2 linked regions of the Arabidopsis thaliana genome follow. The protein of the gene in region 2 interacts with the protein of the main gene of each other region in a pairwise test. Each region holds a gene or a part of one and is shown on either strand. Other genes may lie near its edges.

Region 1 (6,997 bases), on a different chromosome or scaffold from region 2:
TCATGGTGGGTTTTTATAGGTGGATAAGACTTTCATGTTTTCTAAATAAATTTTATTTTGTAAATATATAGAGTTACCAAAATATATGATTTGACAGCTTATTAGTTTTTACGGTTTGTTTTTCGTTGTTTGATTAGGTGATTCGTTGTTCACTTACGTGACTAATATGATTGTTTATTGATAAGATTTGGAGATGACTCGAGCTCATATAAACTAAGCCATTGATGTCGAAAAACTGTTTAAAAAATTTAGTCGCTAATGTATACTCACGCGGCTGTATTGTCCCGTACGCGGCCACTTTTATTTTGTATTGAAGTACTAACTTACGTTTTAAAAATTAGACTGAAACTCAAACTAAAATCTGTTTTGTCCCGTACGCGGCCATTTTTATTTTGTATTAATGTTCTAAATTACATTTTAAAAATTAGACTCAAACTCCAACTAAAATCTCCAGCCAGCATATATATATAGAATGTTGCTTAGTCAATAGTAACAAAATAATTGCAAATGTAAAGGCTGCTTCCAAGAAAAAAAAGGCAGTCCTATATCTTTTAACTTGATATCTTACAAAGTTATAAAATGGATTACTCACATCATAGTCTTTGAAAAACTAAAATTATTATGAAAAGGTACATATTAACACACCCAAAAATAAAAAAAAATAAACGTTCTTGAGTTGGCAACCCCTAAAAGTGGATGGCAATTCAGAAATGGGCTTTTAATGTTTAGATTCCATAAAAAGTGAATAGATGGTTCTTATTCTGTGTATGTGAGATATCAATATCATCGTGACAAAGACTATGTGACAATTACCATACAATTTATCATGGAGGCAAAGCATTACAATTATAATGCTACCAAAAATATTTTGAAGTTAAAACAAAAAAAACTTATTAAAGTTAATTAAAAGCAAGATTTTCGACAGAGACTAAACAGAGTCGATTGAAGCTAAAAGCACGACAAGTTTTGAGAGGATGATTGAGATTTGTAACTCACCCGACAAGAAATTACCCGAAAAGGACAAACCAATTCAATGAACCTTCGTCGAAATCATTCACTTGACCCTTTATATAGTATAGTTTATATTAACACATAAGAACTTGGATAATTTTAGTTTCCTTTAACGCATGACATTTCTATATTAAATAAAAACTATTGTTGTTTTTTGTTCTCCTGCTTAACTTAAAATGACAGCTATTAAATTATCAGGATATTTTTGGAAACCGATGTAAACCGAAAAAAGGTTATTATAAGACTTTCTTTCCTTCTTTCTTATTTGCTTAAAAGATATATAGTTCAATTTTTTGTTTTCTTGCTTAAAGAAAAGATAGTTCAATAAAATTGTATCTATATAAAAGGGATTGCTAAATAGACATACACCGTATTTATCGGACGAGACCAAGAAGTTCAGGTTATTGCAAACTTTGCCTTTTTGACATAAACTTTAGAAAACAAATCTGAACCTGTCTTTTTCTCTGATTTTCATAATTTTTACTAATTAGGTTAGAGAGGAACAAACATGAATCCGAATTATATAGACAATCAATTTTTCATAATTAAGTATGTTGATATGATGATATCAATAGTGTTAATATTCTTACAAGATAAAGAAAGGAACAAAAATTCTTCGAAGAACGGACCGGATCGATCGTATACTCGTAGTGCTCTCTCTACAAGAAGTAATCATGTGGCATATGGATCACGCTTTATACTAGCAGTTAGATCTAAAACCCAATCGGGTGGGAAGATCGGAACCGTCCATTTGTCAACAAAGGAAGCTTTCTAAATTGGAGTTGACGTCAAAAGTCTCCCTATTTATGACGCCATAAATAGATTATTCGCGTGGATCAGACTTCGGACTTCTTTGGATATTGCCAGGTTGTTTCCTTTGTCGTTCTTCGAACTTTCTTTATTTTTTTTTATTTTTTTTTGGTTTTTGTGAGACTAAAGACTAAAACTATATAAATATCATCGCCGTATAAGATTATGTCAAAACATTACAAAACCTAGTTTTGATCTAAGCGCTCTCTCTCTAACTCTCCCTCTCTTTCTCTCACAACTCACCAGAACAATTCCATGGCAGGGAAGAGGTTATTTCAAGATCTTGATTCTGACCAAGAAAATAAGTCCGAGAAACGGATTAAATCTGTACTACCATCCCTTGCCTCGTAATTTTTCTCAGAAACTTTTCATTCTTTTTTTCTTGTATTGTGTTTATGATGAATCATTTCTACAAATCTTAAGTTTTGTTTGGAACATGTTCAGTGTTCAATCCTCTTTTTTTCTTACACATCTTATCCTTAAAATCTAAATATAAATATATGCTTGTATTTTATGTATATGTTCTATTCACTCTCTCTCTTATCCTTAAAATAATATCTCCTTTAGATCTTACTACTCTTGGATTTTATTTTCTATTCACCTTTTTCTGATAAATTTTTGTTATATTTTTTGTTTCTTGCAGGCCAATTTCCAGTGTGTTTGGAGCATTGATCTCAGAAAACACCCTTCGTTCTGTCCTAGAGCCCGTTATTAGAAAAGTTGTAAGTATACTATAATAATTCCACTTCTATTTTGTTATTTCTAAATACTTGTTCTAACTTCTAATTAATGTAGTGGATATATATATATATATATATATACATGGATATTTCAAATGAACGAGTTGAGAATTAGAATTTCATACTTACCATGTTTAATCAACTACACATACTTAAAGTAACAAGTGTAATTTAACATACAAATATACTAGTCTAGCATTGACGATGTCTAGTGTGCGAATTGGAACTTGATAAAATAAGAAAATTTCGATCATGTTGCTAATACTATATACATTTTAGGTAACAAACATATGCATGTACATGCATAGTTGCATTCTTATATCATATATATACACATACGTTATTAAGATAGTACTAAATATTTACAAAGTTATAAATCTTTTTAGTATTATTAATAAACAAGACCTCTCTAACCTAACATTTCAATCAACTATATCTAGAAATAAAAGACAAAATAATGGTCCACACACGTACACACACACATATATGCTAGTACCTTTTAAAAGATCTATATATTGGCCTACATATTTAATTTATTAGTATGTATTGTTTAATTTGTGTAATAAGGATATCAAATTATTTGTTAATATAAAACAGATAAGAGTGTTTTATAACTCTACTCGTTTTGGTAACGTGACCAGGTAAGACAAGAAGTGGAATATGGAATTAGTAAACGATTTCGATTATCTCGGTCATCGTCTTTCCGTATCGAAGCTCCGGAGGCGACTACTCCGACACTGAAGCTAATTTTCCGTAAGAACTTAATGACACCAATATTTACAGGGAGTAAAATCAGTGACGTGGACAACAATCCACTTGAGATTATCCTTGTTGATGACTCAAACAAGCCGGTGAATCTCAACCGTCCAATCAAACTAGACATCGTTGCTCTTCACGGAGATTTTCCTTCGGGTGATAAATGGACTAGTGATGAGTTTGAGAGTAACATCATCAAAGAAAGAGATGGGAAACGGCCGTTACTTGCCGGAGAAGTAAGTGTGACGGTGAGAAACGGCGTTGCAACAATCGGAGAAATTGTGTTCACAGACAATTCGAGTTGGATTCGTAGCCGTAAGTTTAGAATCGGTGCGAAAGTTGCGAAAGGGAGTAGCGGTCAAGGCGTTGTGGTTTGTGAAGCGATGACTGAAGCGATTGTTGTTAGAGATCATCGTGGAGAATGTAAGTTTATTTTTCTTTATTACTAAATATTTTACCTAATTAGAAATTAATGAATATATAACAAATAAATCTATGCATCATATATAATGAGTTTTGTGCATATATTCATTAAGCAGTACTCCACTAGGGGATGTGATAGTAACATATCACTAGTTTCAATTATCTTTGACCTGACCACATTTGGCATCTTCTTATGGATTACCCTACTATCAATCATACATAACCTTTAAGATAATCATTTATACAACACATGTGCATCAGAAATCCATTAAAATGATGTTTTGTTTTCGTCAAAATTTATTTGCATAATTTCGTTTTCAAATTTATTAACATATCAATCTATATTGATGCTTTTGGCTTTATCTTCTTAAAAAGAATCTTAGTTTTTCTAATTAAACACTAGTATAGAAATATAAAATTTTTTGGGTATTACAAAATTGTTGTATCTTGTCATGATATGTTTTGGGCTTTTGGCTACAAATATTAACTATACTTGCTTTAATTTGTCTTAATATATATACACATTCAATTTTTAATTCTTAATTAGAAAAAAACTACTAAAAGTATTTTCGATGTGGACCGTATGCAAACGACTATCCCACTTTATACAAGAGCCTATAAGTCTTTGGTCAATCAATGCTTATATCGTATTAATTAATACTCTGTATATTTTCCGAATCTTATAACAATCAACAAACACATGCATAAAGCGAATACATATAAAGAAGATACATAGTAGAAAACTAGATATAATTCTAAATAGTTTTGTTTTGTACAACTTGGGGTTGGTGAAGTGTACAAGAAACATCACCCACCAATGTTAGAAGACGAAGTGTGGCGGCTAGAGAAGATAGGCAAAGATGGGGCCTTTCACAAGAAGCTCTCCTCTCGCCACATCAACACTGTCCAAGACTTTTTGAAACTATCCGTCGTTGACGTCGACGAACTCCGTCAGGTTTAAATTCTTAGCTTATTTGACCCCTAAATTTTTATTATTATTAGAGAACTAATAGGAATAGGGGTTTGTTGATGTACAGATTCTGGGGCCTGGAATGTCTGATAGAAAGTGGGAAGTAACATTGAAACATGCTAGAGAGTGTATTTTGGGAAATAAGTTATACATTTCTAGAGGACCGAATTTTTTCATGATTTTGAATCCGATATGCGAAGTTATGAAAGCACTTATCGATGGTCATGTTCTCTCTAGTCAAGAATCCCTCAACCAGGTATTGAATGGTCATTTTCTCTCTATTAAAGAAGTTAAGCAATTATTGATAGCTCAATGATTGTTTATTAGTTAGAAACTGTATTTATTTTTTTAATTCATCTATGGTAATGTTTTGTTGCAGCCCTACGTTAAGAACTTAGTTCGAGATGCTTACTCAAAGGGGAACTTTTTAGAAGTGGGCGAACGAACAGCGAACGAGGCTGCTCTTTTGACACAAGGTATTACTTTAAAATAGTGTCAACATAAACACCATTTCAGTTTTTCTATAATTGCGAAACATCGTTGATTATATAGTATGTTACAACAATGTAATTTTGATTATATAGGTGATGATTTGGACCAACAATATGCTGCGAGCCACTACCAAAACATCGAAATCGATAAATCATATCAACAAAACGGATATGTTCAAGAGAGATCTACAAACAATTTGGAGATAGTAAACGAAGGGTATATAACGACTCCAGCGGAATTCAATATATGTTTCACCGGATCTTCGTCTCAAAATCATATAAACCCTTTCTAAATCCTCATCTACGTTAGTATTGGAAGACACGCCATAGTGCCTTGGCCGAGATTGGACTCTTTCTAAATAAGGGTTTAAACTTTAAACTACTACTACGTACATGATGGTAAAACATGTATTCTAGATCTGCTGATCATGATTGTACATAAAAGTGTGAAGTTTAGAGTTATATTTTTAGTTGGATGGTATACCACTTGTTCACGTTTTCACAGTTGTATGAAAACGTTGTTTTTACCATTCACGTTCAACAAATTTTTACGTTTTTACGTTTTAGAAAAATTGATTCCGCTGTATATGTACGTACTTGATGAAAGTATTGACTAAAAAAAGAAATCAAGAATATGAGGGTAACTTTGTGATTTACTTAAAGAAAGCCTCTCAAAAGGATTGAGTGGGGATGACTCAAATACTTATTACCAATTTGTCTCTGAAACTCTCTATTCAATTACCTTACCAACCCTAATTTACACATCAATAGCATAATGAAATTGAAACTTAGAAAACAAGCATGAATGATACTATTTGATTAGGCATCTTCTTAATCAACCGTAGTTGTTGTTGTAGCAGAATCCCTACGAAGCTCCTTGACGAGAGTAGCGAGAGCCTCAGGGTTAAGACCAATATCGCAAAGAGCTATAAGAACAGACAAAGTATGTCGATCAAGACCTGTCTCCAAGATGTTCGACATCCGAAACACCAGCTCCAGTGACTCTCTCGCTGTTTCAGCTGCTTCCTGATTCATAATACTCTGAAACCACCAAACATCATCCAGAACAAAAAAATATCAATTTCGGAAACGATTCAATTTACATATGAATATCTACTCTATTCTTGTACGGATCTCCATGGATGTACAGAGAATGGAAACCCTTAAAGTGGAAATCGGAGACTTGCCGACGGATCAAGAGATACATTAGATCGGAAAAAGGTTAAGGAACAAAACGAACCGATTAATCGACGGAGAAAACGAACGGCGTCGAGTTTGAGAGAGAAGAAGTGAGATCTTAGAGCTTGAGATAATTGAGAGAAACGATTCTCGATCTCGTGATCGAAGAAGAAGAGGCGAAAATGGGCCAACAATTAGAATTTAGAAATCTAGGGTTGTTTTTTTTAAGAAAATAAACCTTTGGCCGGTTCAGAGTATATTTACTGGTTCATATCAAATCGGTCGGTTAAATAAAATCCGCCGGTTTTAATACAATCGAAGTCTCTGAACTAGTTTTAATCAAGGGATTCTTTTTTGTCGGAATCAAGGGATTCAAGACCTTGTTATGATTAATTCGGCCAAAATTGACAAAATTGCATCCAAATTTAGAGACTTATTTTGTAGTGATATCCTTGAAATTGGAACTTTTAACTTTTAAGTAGCTTATGTTAGTCGAATTATCCGAAATTTCTTAAAAACATATCAATGTGAATATGTGATGATCAAGATTTATTCCTTGACGACAAACACATTAATGGAAAGCCAAACTCAAAAGTAAGAAACTTGAAGTAGAAAAA
Region 2 (3,947 bases):
GTTAGATGAAAACATCATTTCTATATAATTAAACAAATAGAATACTGTGATTTTGAAATTGAAAATTAAATGCATTGATTGTATTCAAGTTTTACAAAATGTTTGCAGAAGATCGTCCACAATATTTAACCAAACCATAAACAAATATGGGCAAGCAAAAAATAGGTGGTCACGCAGCTTTTCTGCTTGACTGAACACAACCCTATTGACGCGTTCTAGTTTCCATTGAGAGTCTATCCTTGATTGCCAACCAAGAGATGAAAGCAAATGGAAGGACAGTTTTGAGTTTTGGAAGCAAACTAACTTTTTTAACGACGTCTCTATTAAGGAAGTTGGTAGCTCAAGCTACACTTTATCACATTTAGATCGCGAATGAACAATATCCTTCAAAACTAAATGTCTCTACGACTCTACCTCACCTCACCACTTTCAAGTTCATTGATTGTGAGATCCGCAACACAATCTCTTCACGATGACAAGTAAATCATTTTTGAAACGTATAATGCAACTTTGAATTAGATGATCACACTTATGTGATGTCTTCAATATTGTTACTTTGTTTTTTATTCTTTTATTTTTGCAAAGTTGCAAAAACTGAATGTTTTAACTATTATAATTCTATAAACTTTTTTTTATTTCTTTTGAACAAATGAACTGTAAATGTTGACACACAATTACTAAAGCAGGAAATCAATCGACGACGACTGGACATGTGTTAGTGTATGATATTTAAACGTGATTATGGGCGTCATTAATATAAGACTAATGCCTTTAAGTAAAGCTAGAGAGTAGTTAACTCATTAAGATTAATTGAAGTCTAAGACTTATGAGTAGTTATGATGAAATGAGTAAAAAAAAAAGAGAGATGGTATAATGTTGTCGGTCCATAAATGATGAAACTCTCAAACTCATTCAATACCTTTAGATCTTGCCCTACAAGCGAACCAAACCCTGTGTGGACCGGCTAATTGTCAACATGTCATTGGTCCACTTGATGGACTAGCTAAAAGTACTTCCTTCTTAGGGAAGACGTTGACTTTGACTACTGTTGTAGTTTTTTTTTTTTTTTTCGTTTAGGACAGAATGAGAGATATATACGAAGCAACAATGTATTCAATAGTACTTACTCTTTTTCTAAAATATTGATTTTCTGAAAAAAAATTATGTTCTAAAGGGATTAATTTTCTACACATTGTAATTATTTAATAATAATAATTTACAAACTTTAAAAAGTAATTATTGAGATTTTTTTGAATATATCAACTGTTATTGGATTGTTACCATCAGGCTAAAGCACGATCTTTAAAATGTGTTGCAGCAAGAGGAACTCTCATCTCATGAGGGACATTTTTGAATGTTAACAACTCTTCCGTCGTGCTAATCCAATCTAGGAACTCTTCTGTTTGTAAAGTACCATAAAATTCAGGTAAATCTAACTTGAAACCTGATTTCCACATATAATTATGCCCCATGTAAAAATAGATTTTAGATCCGTCACTGTGTATCTAGTGGGAAATGAAGTGGCAGTTGTTAGACTCTCAATTACCTTTGGATTAAATGTGAAAGTGAAACGGTCACACTACTTTTTCTTTTATGTGTCGTTTTGTTACTTTGCTGTTTATGGTCTTAAAAATTGCATTGTTTGGTGAGAAACCTATGAGACTCACTCACTCGCTATCTCTCTCTGTTATTTAAAGTACCAAACCAAAAAGTAAACAAGAATAAAAAAGAAAAAGACAAAACTAAAGTCTCATACTTTTAAAGTGTTTTCTCATTTCTTTTTTGACCAATTTCGAGATCAAAAGAAACATTTTTTCTTTATTCTCCTCAAATTCTACATCGGGATCTTACTGGGTTTTTTTTTAAACATTAAATTCGTAAATTCCCAAAGAAAAAAAAAAAAACTCGATACCTTTTGTTTTACAAAGTCGTCACAATTCTGAAACCCTTAATTGAATCCAAGAGAATTTTTGATTAAATTAAGTCTCTGGACCCTGAAGTCCCCACACAAGCAAGCTTCGATGGATCCCAAGAACCTAAATCGTCACCAAGTACCAAATTTCTTGAACCCACCACCACCACCGCGAAATCAGGGTTTGGTAGATGATGATGCTGCTTCTGCTGTTGTTTCCGACGAGAATCGCAAACCAACAACTGAGATTAAAGATTTCCAGATCGTGGTCTCTGCTTCCGACAAAGAACCAAACAAGAAGAGTCAGAATCAGAACCAGCTTGGTCCTAAGAGAAGCTCTAACAAAGACAGACACACTAAAGTCGAAGGTAGAGGTCGACGAATTCGGATGCCTGCTCTTTGTGCTGCTAGGATTTTTCAATTGACTAGAGAATTGGGTCATAAATCTGATGGTGAAACTATCCAGTGGCTGCTTCAACAAGCTGAGCCATCGATTATTGCAGCTACTGGTTCAGGAACTATACCGGCCTCTGCTTTAGCTTCTTCAGCTGCAACCTCTAACCATCATCAAGGTGGGTCTCTTACTGCTGGTTTAATGATCAGTCATGACTTAGATGGTGGGTCTAGTAGTAGTGGTAGACCATTAAATTGGGGGATTGGTGGCGGTGAAGGAGTTTCTAGGTCAAGTTTACCAACTGGGTTATGGCCAAATGTAGCTGGGTTTGGTTCTGGTGTGCCAACCACTGGTTTAATGAGTGAAGGAGCTGGTTATAGAATTGGGTTTCCTGGTTTTGATTTTCCTGGTGTTGGTCATATGAGTTTTGCATCTATTTTGGGTGGGAATCATAATCAGATGCCTGGACTTGAGTTAGGCTTGTCTCAAGAAGGGAATGTTGGTGTTTTGAATCCTCAGTCTTTTACTCAGATTTATCAACAGATGGGTCAGGCTCAGGCTCAAGCTCAAGGTAGGGTTCTTCACCATATGCATCATAACCATGAAGAACATCAGCAAGAGAGTGGTGAGAAAGATGATTCTCAAGGCTCAGGTCGTTAAAAGGATTGGGTTTTTTTTTGTATCTTCTGGATTTGAAAAAGCTTTTGGCTTTTGTTTTGTGATAATATTGTTGTAATTTGTACCACCATGGAGAAGAAAAAGAAAAGGTTATATACTGAGTGAGAGTGATAATCTATACTTATTGAAACCTCTGCAAAAACACAAGGTGAGTTCAATTTGAGGATGATGATACAAGAGAGTGGAATCTTCAAACCTTTTTTTCCGAGTGTTTGTGACAATTTTTTGGCAGTTGTTGTTTGAACTTGCAGGTGGAGTTTGTTGAATACACACAGCCAGAGATTTTTTTGTTTGGAGTCTTTAAGTTGCAGAGAGGCTTGTTTTTACTTGTTCTGAGTTTTGTTGCTTTTGAATATCAAGAAACCGGCTTTTTTCAGATAGTACAACAATGGTAATGTATACTTGTCTTCCATCACATATTTGTAGAATGAAGATTTATAGCTCTCTTTTGCTCAGTATTCTTCTATTGCATCTCCAAAGATTGTTCTCTTTCGTTCGATCTCTCTGAATGAGTTAAAGACTTTCGTTTAGAGTCGAGTGTAAAACACTTCGCTGCATGTTCTGATTCAGTGGCTTTGAGCTGCAATGGATTTCACAATGATGGTAACGTTGTATTCTTTAACTCTTACTTACATTCATGTTATTGCCCTGAGTGTGCCGTTAACTGTGGGAAGGTTTTGAACTAGGTACAAACCCTTCGCAGTTGGGAACCAAATAAGCTGGTATTGCATTTACTCTTTGCCTTGCAAGCTTTTTCAAAGATAAGTATAAATTGTTCAACGAGTCAAAAAGTTTATATCATTTTACTCATTTTGACTTGAATTTGACGGAACTAAGGAAAGAGACTAAGAGAGAGAGAGAGAGAGAGGTTAACGAGTCAAAAAGTTGCTTGATCTCTATGATTTGTCCAACCAATCAAAACAAGTGAAGAAAATTCAAAAACATTCACAAAGCTCTCTCTTT

The links. The genes of interacting proteins can lie anywhere in the genome.
Region 1: the proteins of TCP20 (region 2) and SARD1 interact in a protein complementation assay, tested with the Arabidopsis thaliana proteins (one study listed by BioGRID).

The regions. Positions count from the first base shown.
Region 1 is NC_003070.9:27,744,258-27,751,254, reverse strand, and holds SARD1 (Calmodulin binding protein-like protein), read left to right. Parts: upstream 1-2,006; 5' UTR 2,007-2,076; coding exon 2,077-2,168; intron 2,169-2,464; coding exon 2,465-2,543; intron 2,544-3,202; coding exon 3,203-3,740; intron 3,741-4,534; coding exon 4,535-4,695; intron 4,696-4,777; coding exon 4,778-4,966; intron 4,967-5,089; coding exon 5,090-5,186; intron 5,187-5,294; coding exon 5,295-5,494; 3' UTR 5,495-6,032; coding exon of another isoform or gene 6,033-6,236; 3' UTR 6,237-6,465; downstream 6,466-6,997. Other genes in the region: GIP2 (mitotic-spindle organizing 1B-like protein (DUF3743)), read right to left, coding at 6,033-6,236. UniProt on the Arabidopsis thaliana protein: Transcription activator that binds DNA in a sequence-specific manner, 5'-GAAATTTTGG-3', to promote the expression of target genes. Recruited to the promoter of ICS1 and other defense-related genes (e.g. PR1 and SID2) in response to both biotic (e.g.
Region 2 is NC_003074.8:9,956,829-9,960,775, reverse strand, and holds TCP20 (TEOSINTE BRANCHED 1, cycloidea, PCF (TCP)-domain family protein 20), read left to right. Parts: upstream 1-1,830; 5' UTR 1,831-2,021; coding exon 2,022-2,966; 3' UTR 2,967-3,132; intron 3,133-3,216; exon of another isoform or gene 3,217-3,235; 3' UTR 3,236-3,400; downstream 3,401-3,947. UniProt on the Arabidopsis thaliana protein: Transcription factor that binds to the site II motif (3'-TGGGCC/T-5') in the promoter of PCNA-2 and to 3'-GCCCG/A-5' elements in the promoters of cyclin CYCB1-1 and ribosomal protein genes.